Linked DNA regions of Saccharomyces cerevisiae S288C. The gene in region 1 interacts genetically with each later gene. Each region holds a gene or a part of one and is shown in the gene's direction. Other genes may lie near its edges. The genes, in order: ATG42, FPR4 and IOC4.

Region 1 (4,065 bases):
CAGCACCAATGCAGTCCTGTTTGTTTTAGTGATCTCTTAGCAATGTATTTTCAAGGTTGAAAATTTAAACGATCACTATTTTGATTGCGTAAGAAATGCGGAAGTAAACCATTTATTCTCCACTTCCACTTCAATTTTCTTCTTGCTTCCAAAAACCAATTCATTGATTTAGAGCCCATTGCATCTTTATTAAAATGATGTTTGATTGACTTATCATTTTCTAGCAATTGCAACTGCAATCGTTCTATTAGTTCCTTAGAGAAGCTGTCCTTTTTTTTTGATATTTCCTTTTTAAGGTCGATCTTGTTATCTTCTATGTGCCTATTTATTTTTTTTGGAACATCTGTCGATAAATGAAACGGTTCTGCTGAATTCTCTAGATCACTAAAAGTACCGCTGCTTAGATTTGATTCATCCATAGATGATTCGAACTCGCAGTTCTCAAAGATTTTAGCGGCTTCTTCATATCTAACTGTGCATTGCTCACATACAATTTCTTTATAGTATCCTGAATTTAAAAGTCTCGAGCTAATTTCATATAGGGCCTTTTCGCAGATGACACATTTCCTCAGTTGGGAATGAACATTTAATTCCGATAGATAAAGATCATCGTAACTTTTATTGGAAGATGGAATATTAACCAAGTTAACCACCATATTTTCAATGGAATTTGGTATGGAAATATCACTTATTTCAATTTCCTCTTTGATAAAATCTAAGGGGTTGTTACTTTCGTCCCTATTTTCTTCAGTATTCCTTAATATATGGGGTATCAGTGTTAGTGAATTCGGTTCAAAGCTATTTCTATTGGTTTCCTTATTAATTTCAGAATATGAATTTTTTACTCTCAGCGGGATATGATTATCTCTTCTTTTACTTAGTTTTGATTTCAAATCTGAAATAGATACCATTTTTTTTGTTGATTTACTTTGGGTATACGGTATGTAGTCTTCAACCAGGACTAGCGGTGGTATATCCTGAGAAGTATTTTCTGTTAGCTCGTAGTTTTTTGTATCTAAACTCGGCCCATAACTGACGTACCTATTACGTTTGTTGTTATGCACTCGCAGTTCATTTACAGGATTCAACCTGGGCCGTTTTTTATTGTTGTTGTATTCGTTGTTTCCACTGTCATCTTCATTAGTTTCGATATTGCATGGAGGCGCAATTGGCAAAGACGTAAAGCTCTTGTCATCAATTAGATCTAATTTGGAAACAGATTGGTACAATTTGGATGGAATTTTAGGCTTGGCACCTATCAATTGTGAGCGACGCTTTCTTACATTCAATAACTGTTGGTTCTGATTTTCACTTTGACTATTGCCTTGGTATGGAGAATTTCTCTGCAATGGTTTTGCCTGCTTCGAAGGAGTGCTGTTACTATCGAAGATAAATTCCTTCTTTTCAAATTGCCATTGTAACATGGAGTTATTCTCTATATCCTGGACGACTGGAGGAGTCAAGGGCCTGGAAAGTACGGATCCTGTAGAAATATCACTGGCAATTATACTGAGTTTATTGTTGGTGTTGCTATTCATATTTGAGCTGGTATTGGACGAAAGCAAGGATAATGAGTTTGTGTCTACTGACTCCAACACCCTAGGCTGGATTTGATCTTTCTCCATCCTTTAATTTTAACCTTTTAATTAGTGGTTGGATCAAGTTTTCGAGACTATTCCAATCTGTGACTTGTTGGATAAATAGTTTTTGACTCGTTTAGTATAATCCTTTTTTCTAAAAGTGCTTAGAGTTCTCTAAGATGTTCTTGTTTACAATGTGAGCGATTTAGGAAATTTCCTAAAAATGGCCGAGGCGGCGCTAGCATTCTACGAAAGGTGAGATAACGCTTCGTTATCGAAAAATGTCAGGGGACAGGGGTTATATAAGAACGAAAATTGTCATCCTGCATTTTTTCTTTAAAACAGCTATACAAAAAGTGATACCGACATACAATGAAGTATCTAAACTTAGTTTTCGTGCTTCAGCTTCTTATTAGCATCAAATACGCCTCATTCGGCCGAGCCTTTTCTCTTTTTGAAGATGATACCACCTTTGCCAATTTGGATAAACAGCTAAAGCTTCCACAGAATACACAGCAAACCCTTAAATTGGACCGTTTGAATCACGATGATCCGCTGTTTACAACTTTTATTTCTTCTGTGGACACAGATTACAGTTTGAGACTTAGAACAGTAGATCCTTCTAAACTAGGAATTGACACCGTAAAACAATGGTCGGGTTACATGGACTATAAGGATTCCAAACACTTTTTTTACTGGTTTTTTGAAAGTAGGAACGATCCTGCTAACGACCCAATTATTCTTTGGTTAAATGGTGGACCTGGTTGTTCCTCGTTTACTGGGTTGCTATTTGAACTAGGCCCCTCATCAATTGGCGCCGATATGAAACCAATCCACAATCCCTATTCTTGGAATAATAACGCTTCAATGATCTTCTTAGAACAGCCACTCGGAGTCGGCTTTTCCTATGGTGATGAAAAAGTCTCCTCTACAAAATTAGCAGGCAAAGATGCGTACATTTTCCTGGAATTGTTTTTTGAAGCTTTTCCTCATTTACGCTCCAACGATTTCCACATTGCAGGCGAATCCTATGCAGGACATTATATCCCTCAAATTGCACATGAGATCGTTGTCAAGAACCCTGAAAGAACGTTCAATTTAACTTCAGTTATGATTGGTAATGGTATCACAGACCCTTTGATTCAAGCAGATTATTATGAACCAATGGCATGCGGGAAAGGGGGCTATCACCCTGTTCTCTCATCAGAAGAATGTGAGAAAATGAGTAAAGCTGCAGGTCGTTGTCGTAGGTTGAACAAGTTATGTTATGCTTCTAAATCAAGTTTACCATGCATAGTCGCCACTGCTTACTGTGACTCTGCACTTTTGGAACCGTACATTAACACAGGACTCAACGTCTATGACATTAGAGGGCCCTGTGAAGATAATAGTACTGATGGTATGTGTTATACAGGTCTCCGCTATGTCGACCAGTATATGAATTTTCCTGAAGTTCAAGAAACGCTAGGGTCCGACGTGCATAATTATTCTGGCTGTGATAATGACGTGTTCACCGGATTTTTGTTTACGGGCGATGGAAGTAAACCATTTCAACAATATATTGCTGAATTATTAAATCACAACATTCCGGTATTAATATATGCGGGTGATAAGGATTATATTTGTAATTGGCTGGGAAACCATGCTTGGTCCAATGAGTTGGAATGGATCAATAAACGTAGGTATCAGAGAAGGATGTTAAGACCATGGGTCAGTAAAGAAACAGGTGAAGAGTTGGGACAAGTCAAGAACTATGGCCCTTTCACCTTTTTGAGAATATACGATGCCGGTCATATGGTGCCCTATGATCAACCGGAGGCAAGTTTGGAAATGGTCAACAGTTGGATTTCCGGTAATCGTGCTTTTTCGGATCTTTCCACCTTGGAAAATGCTAGTTAGTAGTGCTCTAAAAATGTTTCACTCTTAACCTTGCAATCATTATACTTTACACAAATCTCTACGTTTCATTTAATTTAAAATCTACAATCCAACAAATATAAAACAAAATATAATTATAAGGAAAAACGTATATAATCACTGCAATACTCTAATTTAAAATTAGGAGCACGACATTCTTGCCAGTATCATTGTTGCTAATCTTTTTCTCTCATAAATTGCCACTTGATGTTCACCCTCTCCTTTTAACTTTTCTATATGTTCCTGATCAAAAATATCCAGAGGCTTCACAACTGACAAGCCTCTCTTTTTTAAAAGTTCGACCATTTCATCATTAAATTCCTCTAGGTAATTAAACTCACTGTGTGTAACAAGCATCCCAATCAATTCAAAAGAGACAGCAACCGCTTCAGATGATTGTTCTAGGGTTGATAACCTCCTGAATTCCTTTCTAGTCAGCGTATAGAACCTGAATACACAAATAGGGTTGACTTTGAGCAAATACCTCATCAATAGAGCAAAACGGAATTTACATGGTTCGTCTGACATAACACAGCTAAACAAAAGTGCTCCTTGGTATAAGACTATA
Region 2 (3,593 bases), on another chromosome or scaffold:
TGAACTGGACAAAACTGGACAAAATGAAAATAACGATTTTAGTAAAAATGAAAATATAGCATCAAATGACTGAGAAACATAGTAACAATAACTCATATTATAGCTAATCTGAGTAAACTTCTTCCTACGCTAAGAATTTTTTTGAGGATAGTACCAAACCTTGTGCTGAATCAGCACACGCCATGCCCACCATCAATTGTGCAAGAAAAAAGTAAACGAGTAGTATACTAACTATATATGTGATTTACATCACGATATGTCAATTATAGGCCCCAAAGTGGTATCCTTCCGAAGACGTTGCTGCCCCAAAGAAAACCAGAAAGGCTGTTCGCCCACAAAAGTTGCGTGCCTCTCTAGTTCCAGGCACTGTTTTGATCTTGCTAGCTGGCCGTTTCAGAGGTAAGAGAGTTGTCTACTTGAAACATCTAGAAGACAACACTCTATTGGTCACTGGTCCATTCAAGGTCAATGGTGTTCCATTGAGAAGAGTCAACGCTCGTTATGTCATTGCTACCTCTACCAAAGTCTCCGTGGAAGGTGTCAACGTTGAAAAATTCAACGTTGAATACTTTGCCAAGGAAAAATTGACCAAGAAGGAAAAGAAGGAAGCTAACTTGTTCCCAGAACAACAAACTAAGGAAATCAAGACTGAACGTGTTGAAGATCAAAAGGTTGTTGACAAGGCTTTGTTGGCTGAAATCAAGAAGACCCCATTGTTGAAGCAATATTTGTCCGCTTCTTTCTCTTTGAAGAACGGTGACAAGCCACACCTATTGAAATTCTAAATTGAACTGAAAAAATTATAAATGATTTAAAATAGAATTTCAAAACAAGGAGAATTGATAGAGAATGCGTTGATCTGAAAATACTGTTTGACAATAACGGAAAGGTAAGTGGATATGTAATCTAAGTTTAATCCTCTTCTAATTCATTTTTCCTATCAACATTATCTGTGCTTTTCTATATCCTTCTTTTTGTATCTATAATTTTTTTTTTCTCTTACATAGCAAAATACAAAAAATCATAAATATTAATATCTAAGGGTTCAAGATCAGGTCATCGCCGTTCTGGGCCACTAGGCTATATCTATTCATTTACATTGGAAGCTGCATGGTCTACTCCAACCGCACTGAGGCAAAGTCTCTGTGGAGGAAATGCTGTCCTAGCGAGCCATTGCAATAGGTATAATCAGAGTCGTCCTCCCAATGTGTTAACTTCTCTCAAAACCACCATATAAATTCTGTAACCTGCCAGCGATAATGTTATATATGTAAAAGGTAAACATACAACCCAATTTGTCCATACTAAGTGGATGCTGGGGAAGCAACTACAGTGCAGATGCTAAAGTTTGCTGCGGCAAATAATCTCAACATTTTTGTGATTAAACCTGCCTCAGTGGGGTGTATGATTAGTGCGTTGATATTTAATACACGCGTAAAAGTTAAGTCTGTTGTACGTTTTATTTCGAGTGACGAAAGAACTACGAATAACTTCCTGCATACTGTTGCCTTTTTCTGTATTTACGTATACTTTTATATCAAATAGCTTGGCCAAAAGAAAGTAGCATTGTGTATCAAGTCATAATTCTAATTCTTAGTTTAACTTCAGCAAAAATAATATTCTTCGTCAGACATTCTCATACAATCATTAACCCATATGAACGTTAAATTTCTCAATTTCTTGCCTTCGATGCCCTATGTATATTTTTATCTCAAACCCGAGGCAGTGAAAATTTTAGCTGGTGCATCGAAAAGAGAAGGGCATTGAAAATTTTACAGTGTTAAAAGAAGTGCTTTTCATGTTAGAATGATAAGAAAAAAGAAAAAGACAACAAAATATACGTCTCTACCATGTCTGATATGCTTCCATTGGCTACGTATAGCCTGAATGTTGAACCATACTCCCCAACCCCAGCTCTGAACTTCAAAATTCCGGTTACCATTAGAATCACAATGGCGGCCATCGACCCTGAGCCCTTTGACGATGACAAAAAGCCATCTACTTTAAGAATAATCAAAAGGAATCCTGAACTCACTCGCGGTGAGTACTACAACCAAGATAACAATGACGGCCTCGAAGAGGATGAAAGTGAAAGTGAACAAGAAGCAGATGTACCAAAAAGGAGTGTCAAATCAAAAAAAGGTAAGGCAGTCGAGCAAAGTGAATCAGAAGACTCTGAAGATGAAAACGAAATCGACGATGAATTCGAAGAATGCGTTCTTTTAACCTTATCTCCAAAAGGCCAATATCAACAAGCTTTGGATATTACCATTGCACCAGAGGAAGACGTTCAATTCGTCGTTACCGGTTCATACACTATCTCTCTAACCGGTAACTACGTCAAACATCCATTCGACAATTCTTCAGATTCAGACGAAGATGAAGAAGACTATTACAGTGACGAAGAATCTTCCAATGGAGAAGAAGAAGAAGAAGAAGAAGAAGAGGACGATGAGGAACTAAGTTCCGGTGATGACGATCTTGATGATTTAGTAGATGCTAGTGACATCGAAAGTCGTCTTGATGAATTAGTCAAAAAGGACGAAAAGAAGAAAAACAACAAGAAGGACAGTAAAAGGAAACATGAGGAAGATGAGGAAGAAAGTGCTAAACCTGCCGAGAAAAAACAAACGACCAAGAAAGACAAGAAAGCAGAGAAAGTTAAAGACTCGGAAGAGAGCAAACCAAAGCCAAAGACGAAGCTACTGGAAGGCGGTATTATCATTGAAGACCGCGTCACAGGAAAAGGCCCACATGCCAAAAAGGGTACCAGAGTTGGAATGAGATATGTTGGTAAGTTGAAGAACGGGAAAGTTTTTGACAAGAATACAAAGGGTAAGCCTTTTGTTTTTAAGTTGGGCCAAGGCGAAGTAATTAAAGGATGGGACATCGGTGTTGCTGGTATGGCGGTCGGTGGTGAGCGTAGAATTGTCATTCCTGCTCCATATGCCTACGGTAAACAAGCTTTGCCCGGTATTCCTGCTAACTCTGAATTGACATTTGATGTTAAATTGGTCTCCATGAAATAGGGTCCTTAATGCATACGTATTGATATATGTATCTATAATACTATATACAATTATCTATACTTCCATTACTAATATTATCTTTCAATTTTACATGTTTTTTTCTGCCATAAAAAAGCAATATTTTTTTGCGAGCTATTTAGTGATATAGCCGCCCAGCTACTTGTCGATGCATATATTGGCTGAGAGTACTAATACAATTATCGGAAGACCTCAAAGTAAAATATAGAAGCTTTGAGTAAAAGGAGCTCGAGTTTTAAAAATGACTTCGTAATATGTAAAGTTTATGTCATATATACTTACACGATAAATAGACCATTGATCGTTAGAGACGAGCGCATTGTTTTGTTGAATCCCTTTCAACAGCGCGACAAAAGTTAATCGAGAACAATAAGATGTTGCATTCAAGGGTTAGTCAAACATATCAGAAGGCCGTTTTCTAAATCACCTCAAGAACCTACCACACAGATACATCTTGAAGAGGTGGAGTACCAAAGGGAATATTTTGTACGAGCAAGTTATAGTAAGACACTTCAGTGAGAAATTAATCTGACTTACTTTTACTTA
Region 3 (3,694 bases), on another chromosome or scaffold:
AAATTAGTGCAGAGCAATAAGAAGCGAAAATCAAAAAAAAGTTTTGGATCTGCAAGACTTGCTGTCACGCAACAATATTATAGCCACCCAGCAAAAATGTCAGACATCGAAGAAGGTACGCCTACTAATAATGGGCAACAGAAGGAGAGAAGAAAGATAGAAATTAAGTTCATCGAGAATAAAACAAGGCGCCATGTGACATTTTCCAAAAGGAAGCACGGTATCATGAAAAAGGCGTTTGAGCTTTCTGTTCTAACGGGGACCCAGGTCCTGTTGCTAGTCGTTTCAGAAACAGGTTTGGTATATACTTTCAGCACGCCGAAGTTTGAACCTATAGTCACGCAGCAGGAAGGTAGAAACCTGATCCAGGCCTGTCTTAACGCCCCTGATGATGAGGAAGAAGACGAGGAGGAAGACGGTGATGATGATGATGATGATGACGATGATGGTAATGATATGCAACGCCAGCAACCACAACAACAGCAACCGCAACAACAGCAACAAGTATTGAATGCACACGCAAATAGCTTAGGCCATCTAAATCAAGATCAGGTACCGGCAGGCGCGCTGAAACAAGAGGTGAAGTCACAATTGCTAGGCGGTGCCAATCCTAATCAAAACTCAATGATTCAACAGCAGCAACATCACACGCAGAATTCACAACCACAACAGCAACAGCAACAACAACCACAGCAGCAAATGTCACAGCAACAAATGTCACAGCATCCTCGACCACAGCAAGGAATACCACATCCGCAACAATCGCAGCCACAGCAACAGCAACAACAACAACAACAACTGCAACAGCAGCAACAGCAGCAACAACAACAACCCCTCACCGGCATTCATCAGCCTCACCAACAGGCTTTTGCCAACGCTGCCTCCCCCTATCTGAATGCTGAACAGAATGCTGCCTACCAACAATACTTTCAAGAACCGCAACAAGGCCAATACTAATCTTATCGATTTCCGTATATAATTCATAGACGAGCATTAAGAGGAAAAAGCTGTTTCCGTACCAATTAAAGAAAGATAGACAACAAGAACAAAAACGTACATTACTCTATATTGAAAAAAGCCCTATGTCGGTAAAAGAATAGGAAGTACCTTAGTCATCGGCACTTACCTTTTTTTTTACGATTACTTCTGGTTTGTTTCTTTGCCTCATTTCATTTTGCTGCCACTTTCTTTCATAGGCAAGAAGATTCAATCAAATCTCCCCTTCTCCTTCCCCGGATATATAAAATATAAATATAAAACTTTAAGAATATAAAAATATGAGAAACCACACATAACTTGTATACTTTACTCACATACACACATTTCCAAAAAAATTATAATGTTAATTACATTGCTTTTAATGCTAATCTTTTTTTAGTTGTATAATCATTACCATATAAATGCCTCTCGGTCTAATTTCATTGCCAGTATTGTAAGTTATATACTTTTATACGAGTGTACGGAAAATATCGTGGCTCCCCGTTAACAGTGAAATAAATCTACGCATGTAGCTGCCAGTTTTTTAAGCGTTATATCAATATTGGTAAAGTAAGAATTGACGAAGAAATTGTTAACTACATTTTTCAGAACGGCGTGTCATTCTCCGATAATGTCTGAAGCGATATTCCAGCCAACGGACATTGTCCTTGCCAAAGTTAAAGGCTTTTCAGCATGGCCAGCAATGATTATCCCTAATGAACTCATCCCAGATAACATCCTCAAGACCAAACCTGTGAGTGTCCACAAAGGCAAATCAGGTAGTGATAAAAAAGCAAATGAAGATATAGATGCAGACATGGAATCAGAGGCTAGAGATCGAGAGCAAAGCGAAGAAGAAGAAGATATAGAGGATTTTGGTGAGAGTGAGGCTAATCCTGAAAAATTTATAATATACACTCCCGTTCTGAAGTTTCGTAAAAATGATACGTTGAAATCGACTTACTGCGTCAAGTTTTTTTGCGATGATTCTTATATCTGGGTGAAGCCCATGGATATGAAGATTCTAACAAGCGAAGATTGTCGTAAGTGGCTAAGCGGCAAACAGCGGAAGAATAAGAAACTCATACCGGCATATGAAATGGCTATGAGAGGCAAAAATGGAATTGATATTTGGGAATTTGTGGAATATGGGTCTTACGGCAAGCCAGATGAAGAGGAATATGTAGAGGAAGAGGAAGAAGAGAACGAACCTGAAAAAAAGGCTATAAGGCCAACCAGGTCTTCCAGTAGACAGCGTCAGAAGCGCGCCTCAGAAACGGAAAAGAGTGAGGGCGGTAATAGCAATAAAAGGAAAAGAGTTACTAGATCGACTAGGCAACAAGCGATAGATGCTTCAGAAGAGGAAGAGGAGGAAGAGGAGGAAAAAGTACAAGAGGCTGTTAGAAAGAGGCCGCAAAGGACCAAAACTAAGAAAGTTGTAGTATCCAAGACTAAACCAAATCCAAAAACAAAGGCAAAGAAAGAGAAACCTAAACCACCTAAGCCAATCAAATATCATTTTGAAGATGATGAAGATTGGAGCATTGTTGGGTTGGGCCCACAAGATCTATCAATCGAAAAAACGATGGATCCGATTGCGAAAAAACTGTCGCAGAAGAAAAATCTAGAAAAGCATGTGGAGATTAAGCTAGATCTGGAGGATAAACTAGCAGGTATCAACAAGCTCCTGTGTGATGTCTTATGTTCAGCCATTAACCAGGCTGTTTCGATAAAGGATGATTTCGAAATAATATTAGATGAATTGCAGATTGCCCTTGACACCAGGGGGTCCAGAAACGAATTTATAACAATTTTCCAATCAAATAATTCCCTACTGTTAAACTTTAGGATATTATTTAACTTAAGAAAAAGGGAACTGAACAAATGGGATCTGTGGGATCGTTTCCAGGATATTTTCAAGCATATTTATTCCTACCAGTTCATACCTGATACGGAAGATTGGCAACTAGAGCAAAATATGGAAATTGAAGAAATGGATCGGGAAAAGCCGAGCTTTAGTGAAGACGTAAAGGAAGAAGAAAGCAAAGTAGGAGCATGACCTGTTGCTATTGCAGTTGATGTACTCTGCTTTTGAACAATAGAGGGGAAACCTGTGTACTATAAAATAGACTAAAACTATGTAACTTGTGTATGTTCTGATATGTATGACGCAGTCTTTGATAGTCCAAAACTCACCTAGACTGTGCTGTATTATTACAATTAAAGTTCTAAGTCTGTTGTGCATTATCATTTGAGAAATGGGGGAATGTTGAGATAATTGTTGGGATTCCATTGTTGATAAAGGCTATAATATTAGGTATACAGAATATACTAGAAGTTCTCCTCAAGGATATAGGAATCCTCAAAATGGAATCTATATTTCTACATACTAATATTACGATTATTCCTCATTCCGTTTTATATGTTTCATTATCCTATTACATTATCAATCCTTGCACTTCAGCTTCCTCTAACTTCGATGACAGCTTCTCATAACTTATGTCATCATCTTAACACCGTATATGATAATATATTGATAATATAACTATTAGTTGATAGACGATAGTGGATTTTTATTCCAACATACCACCCATAATGTAATAGATCTAATGAATCCATTTGTTTGTTAATAGTTTGAATGTTTTTATCGGAAGAGGTTTGGTCATTACGTCTGCAATATTCTTTTTGGTTTCGATATAGCATACGTGCAGATGAT

The links.
Region 2: mutations in ATG42 (region 1) and FPR4 together harm fitness more than expected from each alone (negative genetic interaction), as found in Saccharomyces cerevisiae (2 studies listed by BioGRID).
Region 3: mutations in ATG42 (region 1) and IOC4 together harm fitness more than expected from each alone (negative genetic interaction), as found in Saccharomyces cerevisiae (2 studies listed by BioGRID).

Annotation. Positions count from the first base shown.
Region 1 is NC_001134.8:513,712-517,776, forward strand, and holds ATG42 (carboxypeptidase C), read left to right. Parts: upstream 1-1,952; coding exon 1,953-3,479; downstream 3,480-4,065. Other genes in the region: YBR138C (uncharacterized protein), read right to left, coding at 51-1,625; GTPase-activating protein IRA1, read right to left, coding at 3,639-4,065. UniProt on the Saccharomyces cerevisiae protein: Vacuolar serine-type carboxypeptidase involved in vacuolar zymogen activation, breakdown of the autophagic body, and autophagosome-dependent protein synthesis.
Region 2 is NC_001144.5:1,028,984-1,032,576, forward strand, and holds FPR4 (peptidylprolyl isomerase FPR4), read left to right. Parts: upstream 1-1,850; coding exon 1,851-3,029; downstream 3,030-3,593. Other genes in the region: 60S ribosomal protein eL6 RPL6B, read left to right, coding at 270-785. UniProt on the Saccharomyces cerevisiae protein: PPIase that acts as a histone chaperone. Histone proline isomerase that increases the rate of cis-trans isomerization at 'Pro-17' (H3P16), 'Pro-31' (H3P30) and 'Pro-39 (H3P38) on the histone H3 N-terminal tail.
Region 3 is NC_001145.3:353,775-357,468, forward strand, and holds IOC4 (Ioc4p), read left to right. Parts: upstream 1-1,609; coding exon 1,610-3,037; downstream 3,038-3,694. Other genes in the region: transcription factor MCM1, read left to right, coding at 97-957. UniProt on the Saccharomyces cerevisiae protein: Functions as a component of the ISW1B complex, which acts in remodeling the chromatin by catalyzing an ATP-dependent alteration in the structure of nucleosomal DNA.